3 linked regions of the Sus scrofa genome follow. The protein of the gene in region 3 interacts with the protein of the main gene of each other region in a pairwise test. Links are inferred from orthologs where the notes say so. Each region holds a gene or a part of one and is shown on either strand. Other genes may lie near its edges.

The links. The genes of interacting proteins can lie anywhere in the genome.
Region 1: the proteins of UBA3 (region 3) and IMPA2 interact in binary tests that used the Homo sapiens proteins (3 or more experiments, as listed by UniProt). The two-hybrid records come from large-scale screens. The link is inferred for Sus scrofa from reciprocal best matches to the Homo sapiens genes UBA3 and IMPA2.
Region 2: the proteins of UBA3 (region 3) and CPNE2 interact in binary tests that used the Homo sapiens proteins (3 or more experiments, as listed by UniProt). The two-hybrid records come from large-scale screens. The link is inferred for Sus scrofa from reciprocal best matches to the Homo sapiens genes UBA3 and CPNE2.

The regions. Positions count from the first base shown.
Region 1 is NC_010448.4:97,306,849-97,311,375, forward strand, and holds the start of IMPA2 (inositol monophosphatase 2), read right to left. Parts: upstream 2,882-4,527; 5' UTR 2,776-2,881; coding exon 2,680-2,775; intron 1-2,679. UniProt on the Homo sapiens protein: Phosphatase that can use myo-inositol monophosphates, myo-inositol 1,4-diphosphate, scyllo-inositol-1,4-diphosphate, glucose-1-phosphate, beta-glycerophosphate and 2'-AMP as substrates in vitro.
Region 2 is NC_010448.4:19,045,212-19,049,675, reverse strand, and holds the start of CPNE2 (copine-2), read right to left. Parts: upstream 2,882-4,464; 5' UTR 2,651-2,881; intron 1-2,650.
Region 3 is NC_010455.5:50,487,695-50,491,469, forward strand, and holds part of UBA3 (NEDD8-activating enzyme E1 catalytic subunit), read right to left. Parts: intron 1,038-3,775; coding exon 994-1,037; intron 378-993; coding exon 313-377; intron 5-312; coding exon 1-4. UniProt on the Homo sapiens protein: Catalytic subunit of the dimeric UBA3-NAE1 E1 enzyme. E1 activates NEDD8 by first adenylating its C-terminal glycine residue with ATP, thereafter linking this residue to the side chain of the catalytic cysteine, yielding a NEDD8-UBA3 thioester and free AMP.

The DNA.
Region 1 (4,527 bases), on a different chromosome or scaffold from region 3:
CACACCAGAAAATTCTTCCCCACCTTACAAGTAATATACAGAACAAAACCGACGAGATTCTAAAATCGATGGTGATCTGAAAATTTACATGATCCTATCAACAACAAGTTTGAAAGCCTAAACTTTTTAAAGCTATCAGTAATTAATTTCAATTAGCCATGCTACAGGAAAGCCTGAATTTATCTTTCTAGTCTCTGTAGAAAGTATGACAAAATCATTATCATTCAAAGATGCAAAGGCTATGAAGACAAAAAATGTGGAAAAAGTATTACAGAAGATTGAGAAGCAGTTAAAAATTATTTTTATGTATTTTTTTATAGTTGTTGGCATCTTAAAATGTATACTGTTGTGATCTTTCTTATCCTGAATAAACCATTTTTACCTCTAATTTTGAATTTGTAATTTTGTATTTTTTTCTTAAAAAGGGCCCCTAAATTGTCTAAACTTCAGGCTCAACAAGGCCTGGATCATACGCAGGGCAACTTAAACAGCATAATTTGCTAAGATAGTTTGTTCACCCATCACATAAAGATGATAAATACCCATTTTGATGAATATTGCTCTTTGTATTTGTGGTGGTGATGGGGTGGGGCTGGCTCAAGAGCCAGGGAAGGGCTACTGAAGTGGTGGGTTGCTGGGACTGGAAGTGATGCCTCCCAGAGGCACCACAGAAATGGGTGATGGAGGCCTTCCTGGAGAGGGCGGCACTTGGGGCAGGGAGGCCTCTCAGGATGGGGCAGCTGGGAGGTGACAGCAAATCATCTAGGGCCACCCTTAACAGAACCAGAGTCTGAAAGTCAGAGGGCCCTCCCTCTGCTCCCTGTACCTCTGAGTGTGCAGAACCCAGACTCTGGAGCAGCTGAGAGCAGCAAACAATAAAACAGCAGAAACCAGGGGTGGGCGTGTCTGGCCACAAGGCTATGGCACCTGCATCCACCCCCTCGCCCCCCTCCCCCGGGCTGAGGGAGGCACCAAAGGATCAGCCCCTTGGCTCCCTCCAGGCCAGGTCTTGTCCAATCAGCACCCTATTACTGCCAGAACATGGTGAAGACAATCTGTCCCTCTTTACACAGGTTAGGATGACCTGTGGCTTCTGTTTGTCTCAGCCACTGACCATTTGGCCACTCTCCGGGCCACTGTGCAGCCAGCAGACAGGCAGCATCAGCATACTGCCCAAGAGGGAGCCCAGAGTCCTGGGCCCCCTGACCAGACTCCTGATGTCAGAATCCTTACTGTACCCTTCCCCTACTCTCAGAAACAGCCTTTTCTGTCCTCAGCAAGTTGCAAAAGCAGAAGCTATCTGAGTTAAAATTCCTAAGACCTTTAGAATGGTGCCCGCCACACTGCAAGGTCTATGTAAGCGTTGGGAAATTTGTATAAAAAATGTTTCAAAAACTCTCTGTTTCCTCAAGGATCTAAATTTGAAAAACCACAGAAACCCATAACTCACAAGGGTTTACACAGTGATGTCTGAATCCTAAACTGGCTTCTCAAAGACTGAAAGAAGAAAAGGCTTATGGTGGAACTTAAAAGTTACCAAATATCCTGATACGTTTACTCTGGAGAGGAAGTGGGGGGCTCAGGGAGGGGAAGCAAGTATGCTCTGCGGCCAGTGGCGCTGCTTTCCAGGAAGAACGCTTGTCCTGCAGTTACAAGCTTCATCCAAGTAGCAGGTAAGGTTGAGGTCCTCCTTTTCCCAAGGATCAAGCCTCCCAGCGCCCCTTTAAGGAGTGTTTTCCTTCTGGGCTGAGGCGGTGGGGGGGGGGGGCTCCCACACAGAAGATGTCCACTAGGGTTGAAGGTTAACGTTTAGGGGATTAGAGGAGTCACTCCAAGAACCACACCATCACTGCACACGTGAGGGCTCACTTCAAACGCAGGACGGGTGACAACCTGTTTTCAACCTGTGCAGAACTTTCAGACTGAAAAGAAATTACCATTTGGGAACAGTAAGTCCTTCTGCGGGCAGGGCTCCTCCTACTCCTGTCCACCCCCTCTTGGGATCGCCAGAACGAAGCCGTGCGCCTTTACGCGCGCGCGAGGCGGGAGGAGGACGTTTCTCCGCCCGGCCTCCCCCCGCCCCACCCCGCGCGGGACAGTCCCGGAGAGCCCAAACCCCTATTCGCCGCCGCACGTGGCCTAAGGACCCCTCAGGTGTCGGGCACCAGGGAAATGAGGGAACAGAACACACACTAAAGTGAGAGGAGAGGGGTTGCTCTACGAAGGTTTCTTCAGCTCCGCTGCTCGACCTTCACCCTTCCGGTGTGGGTAGCAGTTCCTCCAAATACCGAGAGGAACCCTCTAGACTCCGGATGCGCGAGGAGAGGCCGTCCGCTCGACCTCCACACGGCGGAGTTCTAACCTAGGGCAACCGCACCACGTTCTGCCCAATGGATCAATTCCAAGGCAGTTCCAGCGCCCTGACCCTCCCCGGCAGTTCTGCGCGCAGATCCCGGCCCGCGTCTCCGACCCGCGGGACCCAGGGAGCCCGTGCAGGGGCGGCAGGTGCACAGGTGTAAGGAAGAGGTGCAGAGCCCCTCTGCGGTTGGCAGTCCCGGTCGCCTGGCCCAGCGTGGCCGGACCCGCCGGCCCGCGGGGTCTCAGAACCACCGCCCACACCCCGCGCCCACTCTGCCCCAAGTCCGAGCGCGCCCGCCGTGCGCTCCGGGCCGCGCTCACCTGTCCTGCCCGCAGCGCGAGCTGCACCGCCGCTTCGAAGCACTCCTCCCACGGGCCCCCGGCCCTCGCCGCCCTATCCTCGCCGCTTGGCTTCATAGCGGCCTCTGGGCCCGCCGGCGCCCCCCGCCCGGACGCCAGGCTGCGCGATCGCCTCGCACCTCCTGCTGCTCAGCGGCTGGGCCGCGCCTGCCCGCAGCCTTGCGGGCCCGTTGTGGGGGGCGGGGCACAGGCGGGAACCCGACCTGGAGCTGCGCCCAGCGGGTAGCGACGCCCAGCCCCGCCCCTCACCCCGCCTCCGCCGAGCCCGGCCCCGCCCCGCGCCGCTGGTGCCCCGCTCCTTTCCGCCTGCGTCGCTCTCCCTGCCCTGCCAGCGATGAGCCCCGCCCCAACAACCCCAGGCCCCGCCCCGACTGCTCCAGGAACCCTGGAGGGCGCTCGGTCCCTCCTGCGGAAAGCCGCGGGCTTGCGTGGCGGAAGAAGGGCGGGGCTAGGAGCCGCAGCAGCGCCCCGGGCCCGCGCTCCCCGCGGAGAGTATGGATGAGCCAGGAATGTTCCCTAAGCAGACCCCCGGAACAGCTGCTGCTCTCGTGCTCCCGCGTGGGCAGGAACCGACTGCTGCAGGCGCTAGTGCCAGACCCAGAGCTTGCGCTCAGGAGCTGCCTGGCACCCTCTAACCTGTGCTGACCACGTGGAGCCGGCCTGCGGTCCGAGACCGCGAGGACCCCGCGGGGGTCGCTCCTTACACCGTCAGCTTTCGTCTGTGACCACCGAGCGCCGGAGCAACTTGTAGAGGCAAACAGACAACACGGAGGCTTTAAGCGGAGCTGTAGGGCTTCGTCCTTGGGTCGCCTCACCTTGCAAGTGGGAAACCTGGATGGAGAATTGCCCCTACGGTGGGTTTGCGGCGGCTGAGGGCAGGCTCCGCTCCATCTTTCTTGTTCATATTTTCCATGATTGTCCCAAGAGGGAGTTGGTTTCTGAAAATCCTTAAGACTGTGCCCTGGATGCCTCACTTCAAATGTATTCAGAGTTGATCTTTGCAGCAGGTTTTCATTAGCGATCACTCCCAGCAACAAGCAAAATAACGTTAAGACGCTGAATTAAGGCAGACAAGCGATTGCTAACAAATGCTGTACATTTATCACCCAGCATTGTGCAGGTCCCACAACAAAGAACATCCCCGGACACCCCTTAAAGCTCTGTTCTGGCAGAATCATCTGCAGGAAACATTCTCTGCAGGATTATTTCTCCTTCTCTTTGGTTTCCACCATAAAATGTGCTTTTTCCTGCTGGTCCCATTGAGAAAGAGGGTAACATGTGAGGTCCTTTGGCTCCCCTGGGTGTGCCACTCTCCAAGCTCTGCCTGGCTTTTCTGGGGAGACTCCTTTGTCCTGTGCCATGTCCCCAGCTCACTCTTTAGTGCTACTCTATGCCTGTGGATCCTATACTTTAGACCCTGGAGACAAACTGTACTTCAGTAACCAGCCACCTTCATTCTGTTACAGTCCTACCTGCAAGGCACAGTCTGTAAACTAAATGAACACTATTTCCAATTCCGTGCTCCTGAAACTCCCCAGGGTGACCTTCCTGAGATGAACTCCTGGCCCGCCTTCACCTGACTCTAGGTCAGCTCTGCACCCCATCTCCAATAGTCCACTCCCGGCCTGGACTGTTCACACTTCCTTCTCCCCTCCAGAGACGCCAGGAGCAGCTTCTGGCCTCAGACAGCACTCCAGGCGGCTGCCGCTGGGACCTCTGGGCACACTTCACCTTGTCTTCATGTGCACATCTGTAAAGTGGACATTCCACCTTCATCAAGTTGTTTTTGAGACATAGGCGAAAAGCTGT
Region 2 (4,464 bases), on a different chromosome or scaffold from region 3:
GGCTGGAAGCCAGGAGGCGCCTGGACTCTCTCACAGTCCCCAGAGCCTGTGGGACCTCAGGAAGTCATGAATCCCCTTGGGACTCCACATGCTCCTTCTGGATGTTGGGAAGGGGGCGGTGATCACTGCCTTCTCCAGGTGCTGCCTGCCAAGACCCTAGGGTGACCCGGCCTCCTGGCTCCCAAGGAGCCCACCCTGTGCCCTGCAGGGGTCCGCACTCCAGAAGTGACCGTCCCTGCTGGGTGAGCGGAGGGAGACGAGGGAGAGCTCCATCAGGCAGATGGGACCCTGGCCCTGGCTGAGGGCTTCTCAGTAGGGGACTTGGCCTGGAGACCATGCCCCAGAGGGAATTTGTAGAGAATGGCTCCTCTGTTGTCCATCGTCCTCAGAGCCCCACGAGGGGCAACAGGAACACCCCGGTGGATCCACCATCGACCTTCAGCCTAGTGGCACCTTGCTCGTCAGGGTCCTGTCCCTGCGACAACCCAGAAATCTGACCTGTGGATTCCGAGGCTCCCCTCTCCAGGAAGGAGGCGGGAGAGAGAGGAGTGAGCTGGCCTGAGAAAAATCCCAAAAGGAATCCTAAATCAGTAACCCACTTCGGGCTTCCTAATATTCCCATAAATAATGCTAAGCGGTTAATGCTGAGTGCTTCTCACACACCAGTCACAGGGCAGGCCCACGAGCCCGTGTCATGTAATTTAACCCTCACAACTACCTTTAAGGAAAGACACAGCTACCCTAAAAGATCACAAGGGGGTAGAGTATTGTTCTCACTACTTTCCAGGTACGGCAACAAAGGCTCTATCCCTGACCCTCTCTTTACGCCTGAGGTTTTTTTTTGGTTTGTTTTTTTATGGCTGCACCTGAAGTATATGGAAGTTCCTGGGGCCAGTGACAGAATCCGAGCTGCAGCTGTGACCTACCCTGCAGCTGTGGCAATGCCAGATCTTTAACCCCCTGCGCTGGGCCGGGGATTGAACCCATACCTCTGCAGCAACCTGAGCTGCTGCAACTGGATTCTTAACCCACTGCACCACAGCTACTCTGCCCCTGAATTTTTAATAAGAATGGCCTCTGGGAGGGCGATCCCTTGACCACCCGTGCACCTAACTTTGCAGGACACCTGTCCCCTGTACCGGTTCTAGCCCCCTAGCAGCTCTGTAAACGCGATTGTGTCATACTTTGCTTCATTTTACCAGTGGAAAAGCCCTCAAGCCCTACGACTGACGAGGCAGGCAAATAGGATGTGGCAGCAGACCAGGAGGGCCCAAGTGTCCACGTTCTTAGTCCCTGGTTCTTTCCATGGAGACAACTACCCGGGTGACCCCTCCCACTCTGGCCAGCTTTGTCACATGCCTGGGGCAGTCCCAGGACTCACTGGGCCCCCTGCCAGAAAGAATGCAATAAAACCACTCCTTTATGTTGGCACCGGCCTCTGCATGCACAGGCCCTGGACTGTTAGCCCATTTTACAGACAAGGACCTGGAGGCTCAGGGAGGAGGAGGGTCTGGGCCTGGGTAGGAGGTGTTTGAACCCAGGTGTCCCACATCTCCCCATCAGGGCTGACCACAAGCAGGCTGCAGCTGCTGGAAGGTTACAACCTGGTTCCTCTCTCCAATTACTGAAGCTGTGGGTGCCCCCATGAAACAGAAAAAGCCCTACCTCCCTCAGTTAACAGTCCACAGTCCTAGGGAAGCAAAAACTAAAGGCGGACAAAGGGCCACTTGGATATTTCTCCCAGATCCTTTGCCCTTGTCACTTCCTCCAGTACATAACAGGGCTGGCGGGGTCGCAGACAGCAAGAACCTCTAACTGGCTACCAAAGCTCCGGGTTCCAGTTCCACCTGTGACCTTGGGCAAATCACAGCCCCCTGTGAAGGAGCCCCTTCCCCAAAGGGGGTGGTTCGACAAGGCTGGGGGATGGGATGCGAAGAGGAAAGTAAGAATCTTCTATTTACAGAGAAGCAGCGCTTCGGGGGAACAGGGACTGGGAAGGAAGAAAGGGCTCTGCTCTTTCTCCACGTTCCCCCCTCCCCCGCCCCAAACACACAGGTGCCAGACAGTTTTTGCAGGGAAAAAAACTAGTTTGCAAACACACTCCGACTTCTGGGAAGCTGCCCAGCTCCACTTCCTCTCCTATTCCCCCTTCGCGAGCTGGGAGCGGGCTCTGGAGCAGTTCCCTGCGGCACCGGGGATGCCCGGGTAGGGAGCGAGGCGAGAGGGCGAGAAGCGGGGCCAGCCCGACCTCAGGACTTCCGAAGCTGCGAAGGTGGCGGGCCTCCACCTTCCTGACGCCCCCAGTTCCTCGGGGGAGGTAGGAGGGTCCCTAAACCATTGGGCTCGGAGCCCCCCCACCCCCGCGCCTCGCCCCCGAGGGCGCCACCATCCTCCAGGCACTATGCCCTCGGTTACCCCACGGTCGGGGCGAAGCCGGAGCGCCCCCGCGTGGCCGGGTCGCAGCTGAGTCATCCAAACGCTGGGGTCGGGGCGCGCGGATGGCTGGGGGCTTTGGGCTGTGCCACCCGGGAGGCGGCACCTAACTTCCTTCCAAGCAGCCGCTGGCGCCAGAAGCCGAGCCCCAAGGCCGAACTTGAGCCCTCGCGCCAGGGCGCCCCGCCCGCCCCTTGCCCGCCGGGGCCCCACTCACCGCGGGTTCCGCGGGCGCTGCCGCCCTCACCGCGTGGCTGCCGCTCCCCGTGCTCCGGGCCACCAGGGCATCCTCGGGTGCTCCCCTGCTCCGCCGGGCCCACGGGCGCGGGACGGGCTCAAGGCGCTGCCCGCGCAGCGGTGGCCAGCTCGCGTGCGCTCCCAGCCGCTCGCGGTCCGGTCCTCCTCCCCGGCCCGCCGGGCGGGCGGCGGCGGCAGCTCGGGCTCCTCCCTCGGCCGAGGGAGGGGGGGGCGTGGGGAGGGAAGTGGGAGGCGGGGCGGGCGCTTCCTGGAGGGGCGAGCTCTCCCACGGGCGGAGCGGGGGCGCTGTCCCGCCCGCCGCCCGCGGCTTGGAGCCCGCCGCTGGCGCGCCTCGGGACTCTGAGCGATCAGAGCCTCGGGGCCCCGAGTATTCGAGGCTGGAATCCGAGGGTCCGAACGTTCCAGGCTAGGACTTCGCGGATCGGTACGCCGCTAGTTCTCACTCTTCCCAGGCTGGCCTCGCCCGAGCCGCCGGCGCCTCCGAGTAGCCTGCACCCGGCTCTCAGGGCCGCCGACGCGGGATGCGAGGGGTGGGCTCAGCCCCGGCCTGCGGGGCCCTAGGACGCCGCCTGCAGCCCCGACTCCAAGGGCTGTCGGGCTCGATGCTGCGCCCTCGAGGGTCTGGTTCTGGGCTATACTGGCAGCACTAGGACCGCTGTTTGCTCCCTCCCCCTCTCCCCCCAGTAGTAAAAGAGGTCGGCGTTTTCTTATTGCCGCTGCGACTGGGAAGATGACACATACGTATTTCTGGGACAGAGCTGATAAGACAGTTCGAACAGTGCCTATAGCGGAGGGCAATTAGGCGGGCCCTTTGTGACCCTGGCGCCGAGTCCGCCCTTCTGCGGCGGCCTTCTTTGCCCTAGACAAGGGAGCAATTCTTCAGAAATTCGCCTGTCGCTGGGCTCCCGTGCTGCAGGCCACTCCGTTTTTATATGCCCGCTCCCTCAGTCCCTCTACCCAATCCAGTGCCTCAGACAGCGGAGCCTCATTTAACCAGATTGTGGGGGACAGAGCTGTCTCTGAGATCTCAGGGCCACGTCCAAAGCCCTTGGCTCCCGGACTGGGCAGCTGGGCATTAACGCGCAGTGCTTGGGTTGTGGGATTTCCGTCAGGCAGGTGAGGGTTAACTGGGAGGCTCACAGCTGCAGCCAGTGAACCTCCCTCCAAGTCTGAGTCACAGGCACTTTGCAGCCTTAGAGGGCGGCTGTTAAACAGCCCCAGGGCTCTGAGCTTTGTTCTCTGCCTGCCTGCCCCCACCTCCCATCCATCCCTCTTTTCTCCAAGCTCTCCCAATCTTTCCTCCACATCAAGTCCTCAGAGCCCTCAGCCCAGCTGTGAGGCCAACCCATCCAGAGGTGTTCTGAGACCCAGCTGCAGCCCCTCTTCCTCCAGGAAGCCTTTCCTGATTGATATGGCCCCCAGAATCCTTCTCCTCTCCTTGCTCCAGAGCAGAAGAGCCAGGCACTGGGACGGACAGTGGTGAACCTAAGCAGAAAGTCCCTCCCCTCAAGTTGCTCACCTCACAGGGCTAAAACCACCACCCCTGCAATCGTAATACAGTATGAAAGGTGCAAAAACTCGAGGCAAGGTGAATCAGAAGACCTGAATCAGCTATGGGAGTCAGCAAGGCTTCCTCTAGAAGAAGGATAAGGTAGTTGGGCCTGCTGTGGGGGGCGGGGGGGAAAGACACCATATCCTTGGCCAAGGGGATGGAGTACAATGGCCAGGGGTCATGGCAATTCCGCTCCTAGGTATCTACCCAAGGACAATGGA
Region 3 (3,775 bases):
ATATCTAGAAAAATTATTTGAAGGATTTATAAGGAGAACGGGATAAGAATTCAAAAATAAAGAAAATGCTATCAAGTAATTCTATGAGTCAATCACACTGTTGAGTACTAATATATCAAATCAAGGGACTATTTTCTTAGCAATTTATGTCCTCACCTGAAAATTAATGACTGGCAATATAATCACTGGACTATGTCTATCATTAAAAATTAAACTGTGATTTCTCAAAAATATGTCATGAAAGTCTCGTTTTCAGTCTGTTAAAAGCAGCACCAAGAACCTTAGAGAATCGTAACAACACTAAGTCTTTACCAGCATGCCATTTATCCATCTTCTGGCTATGATAGAGTCCAGTCCACATACAATTATATGAAATTCTACAAGAAAAAAACACAAATTTAGTTTTTTAAAGTATCACAGCACAAAATAATTCAATTTCTAAGAAACAAACAAACCCATTTTTCACTGTAATACACACACAGCTTCTAATCCTTGAGTAATCTTTACTCAAGACAGAATACAAATATGTGGCTAACAATGCCAACTAGAAATTCAAACAGTGGCATTCCCTTTCCGATCAATTGACAACCTCCTGAAAAGTCAACACCAAGAAATGAAGGCAAAGAAAGAAACAGCCTTCAAAAAGCTACCAATCTTCAGGAGTTCCCATTGTGGCTCAGCAATAACGAACCCGACTAGTACCCATGAGGATGTGGGCTTGATCCCTGGCCTCGCTCAGTGGGTTAAGGATCCAACATTGCCATGAGCTGCTGTGTAGGCTGCAGAAGTGGCTTGGATCTGGCATGGCTGTGGCTGTGGTTTAGGCAGGCAGCTGCAGCTCCAATCTGACCTCTAGCCTGGGAACTTCCATATGCCACGGGTGTGGCCCTAAAAAAGACAAAAAAAGAAAAAAAAAGCTACCAATCTTCAAATAAACAGCAACTAAAAACAGTAAGAATTTAGGGAGAATTTAACTTCAAGTGGAAAACTTACGTCGATAGAAAGTGTCGTTAAAATCCTGAATCTTGTTGAAATGTCTGAATACAAGTAAAGGAACTTAGGCTGAGTTTTTATCTTATAAAGTGAATTTGACAATGCCATAAGGATCACATTATAAATGTATATTTAAAACAAGACATAAGTCATCAATGTTCAAAGCAATGGAATTCAAGGAATCTGACAAAAAGAACACAACCCTAGCTCTCAGAAAAGCTTTTTCCTAAACACTCTTCCCCTAACTACTTAGCTTCTCTCATCTCCAAATCCCCATCATTATAATTCTGTCTCTGCTATACTTTCTATTCTGCTTCAGTTTTTATATAAAACTGTAAGCCCCAGGAAAGCAGAATGCACATCTTCAACCACCAGGACCAAGCTAAGCAGCAATTAACATTTGTTTAGTAAAGGAAACAGACATTGTATTTCCCATTTTAGAAAGGTGATTTTAGGAGTCAATATACTACACAAAATAACAAATTGCACACCTTAAAATTATACAATGTTATATGTCAGATAAGATCAAGTAGAAAAAAAAAGTTACCACAAAGCTAATTTTAAAAAAACAGAGGAGTTCCTGTTGTGGTGGTAACGAGTGGTAACGAACCCGACTAGAATTCATGAGGACATGTGTGTGTTCGATCCCTGGCCCTGCTCAGTGGGTTAAGGATCCAGCATTGCCATGAGCTTCAGTGTAATTTGCAGATGTGGCTCGGATCTGGCATTGCCACGCTGTGGTATAAGCCAGCAGCTGCAACTCTGATTAGACCCCTAGTCTGAGAACATTCATATGCCACAGGTACAGACCTTAAAGTGAAAATATAAAAATTTTTTAAATAAACATAATTTTTAAAAATAGATGTTTTAAAAGCTTTTTCAAGTACTTACTGGTCATTGGGTTTTGTTTTGTTTTGTTTGGGGGTGGTCAATGAATTCTTTCTCCCTCTCTTGTTTAACTCAGTATTCCAAATCTCTCTCTCCTTACCCAGCCCACACCCTATCAGCAGTCTTCCCCAGTCTGGAGGGTGCCAAGGGAACCCCATCCAAATTGGTGGGGAATGTGAATCACAGTACGTAGCATTTGAACAGAATATCTACAACAAATTTTTTTTTTTTTTTCTGTTAGGAGCAACAAGGACAATATACGTTTGCTCTAGATTTTTTTATTCTAGCCTAAAAATAAAGTTATGAAAATTCTAGTTCTCACCCACTCAGACCTCTATTCCTCTGGAATGCCAGACAAACAAGAGACAAAAACTACAGCTAGAAAAGGGAGGTCAACGATGGAGAACAGTATAGAGGTACCTTAGAAATCTATACATAAAACTACCATATAACCCACTATTATTGCTATCCCACTCTTGGGCATATATCTGGACAAACCTTGCCTTAAAAAAGACACAGGCACCCACATGTTCATTGCAGCACTATTCACAATAGCCAAGACATGGAAACAACCCAAATGTCCATCAACAGATGATTGGATTAGGAAATGTGGTATATATACACAATGGAATACTACTCAGCCATAAAAAAAATGACATAATGCCATTTGCAGCATCATGGATGGAACTAGAGACTCTCATACTGAGTGAAGGAAATTCGAAAGATAAAGACAAATACCATATATCACTTATATCTAGAATCTAATACATGGCAAAAATGAACCTTTCCACAGAAAAGAAAATCATGGACTTGGAGAACATACTTGTGGTTGCCAAGGGGGAGTGGGAGGGAGTGGGGTGGATGGGGAGCTTGGGGTTAATAGATGCAAACTATTGCCTTTGGAATGGATTAGCAATGAGATCCTGCTGTGTAGTGCTGAGAACTATTTATAGTCACTTATGATGGAGCATGATAATCTGAGAAAATAGAATGTGTACATGTATGTGTAACTGGGTCACCATGCTGTTCAGTAGAAAAAAAAATGTATTGGGGAAATATCAATTAAAACATAAAATAAAATAAAATAAAATGTTAGGTAGGCTAGGAAAAAAAAAAGAAAGAAAGAAAAGGCAGGTCAAAAGAGAACCAGAGCAAACAATGAAGGAACAATAGGAGATAGAGGAGCAAGGCCAAGAAATCCCATCTCCTAGAGTTCTACAAAACACCCAAATTTTCACAGATCTAAATAATGGGGATGGACAAAGAATGTGAACACTTGGGAAAAAAAAAAAAAAAAAAAAAAACCCTCTGTTTCTCCCTATAGAGATCTGTATTCACATTATTGAACTTTTTTATTTTTATTAAGATAGTACAGAGGGGTCCCACATTTCCTTCACTCAAGTTTCCCCCCAATGGTTACATCATATACCTACAGCACAATATCAAACCCACAAACACAACATGGGTACAATGTGTGTAAGGTTGTCATTCAACCACATGTAAAACTGTGTGACCACAATAAAGATACACAACTATTCATCACCACAAAGATCTCCCTCCAGCTACCCCTTTTACAGTCACACCTATCCCCTCAACCATCCCTGATCCCTGGCAATCACTAATTTGTTCTCTATCTAGATAACTGTCATTTGAAGAAGGTTATATAAATGTAATCATACAATATATGACTTTTATAGACACTGGCATTTTTCATTCAGTATCATGTTCTTGATATCCATCCAAGTCATATTTCATTAATTGTACTTCATTCTTTTTTATTGCTCAGTATTATTACAAGGTGTGGCTGTTATCACAGTTTAACAATTCACCTAGTGATGGATATTTGGGTGGTTTCCAGTTAGAGGGTACTGCAAATAAAGCTGCTGTGAACATT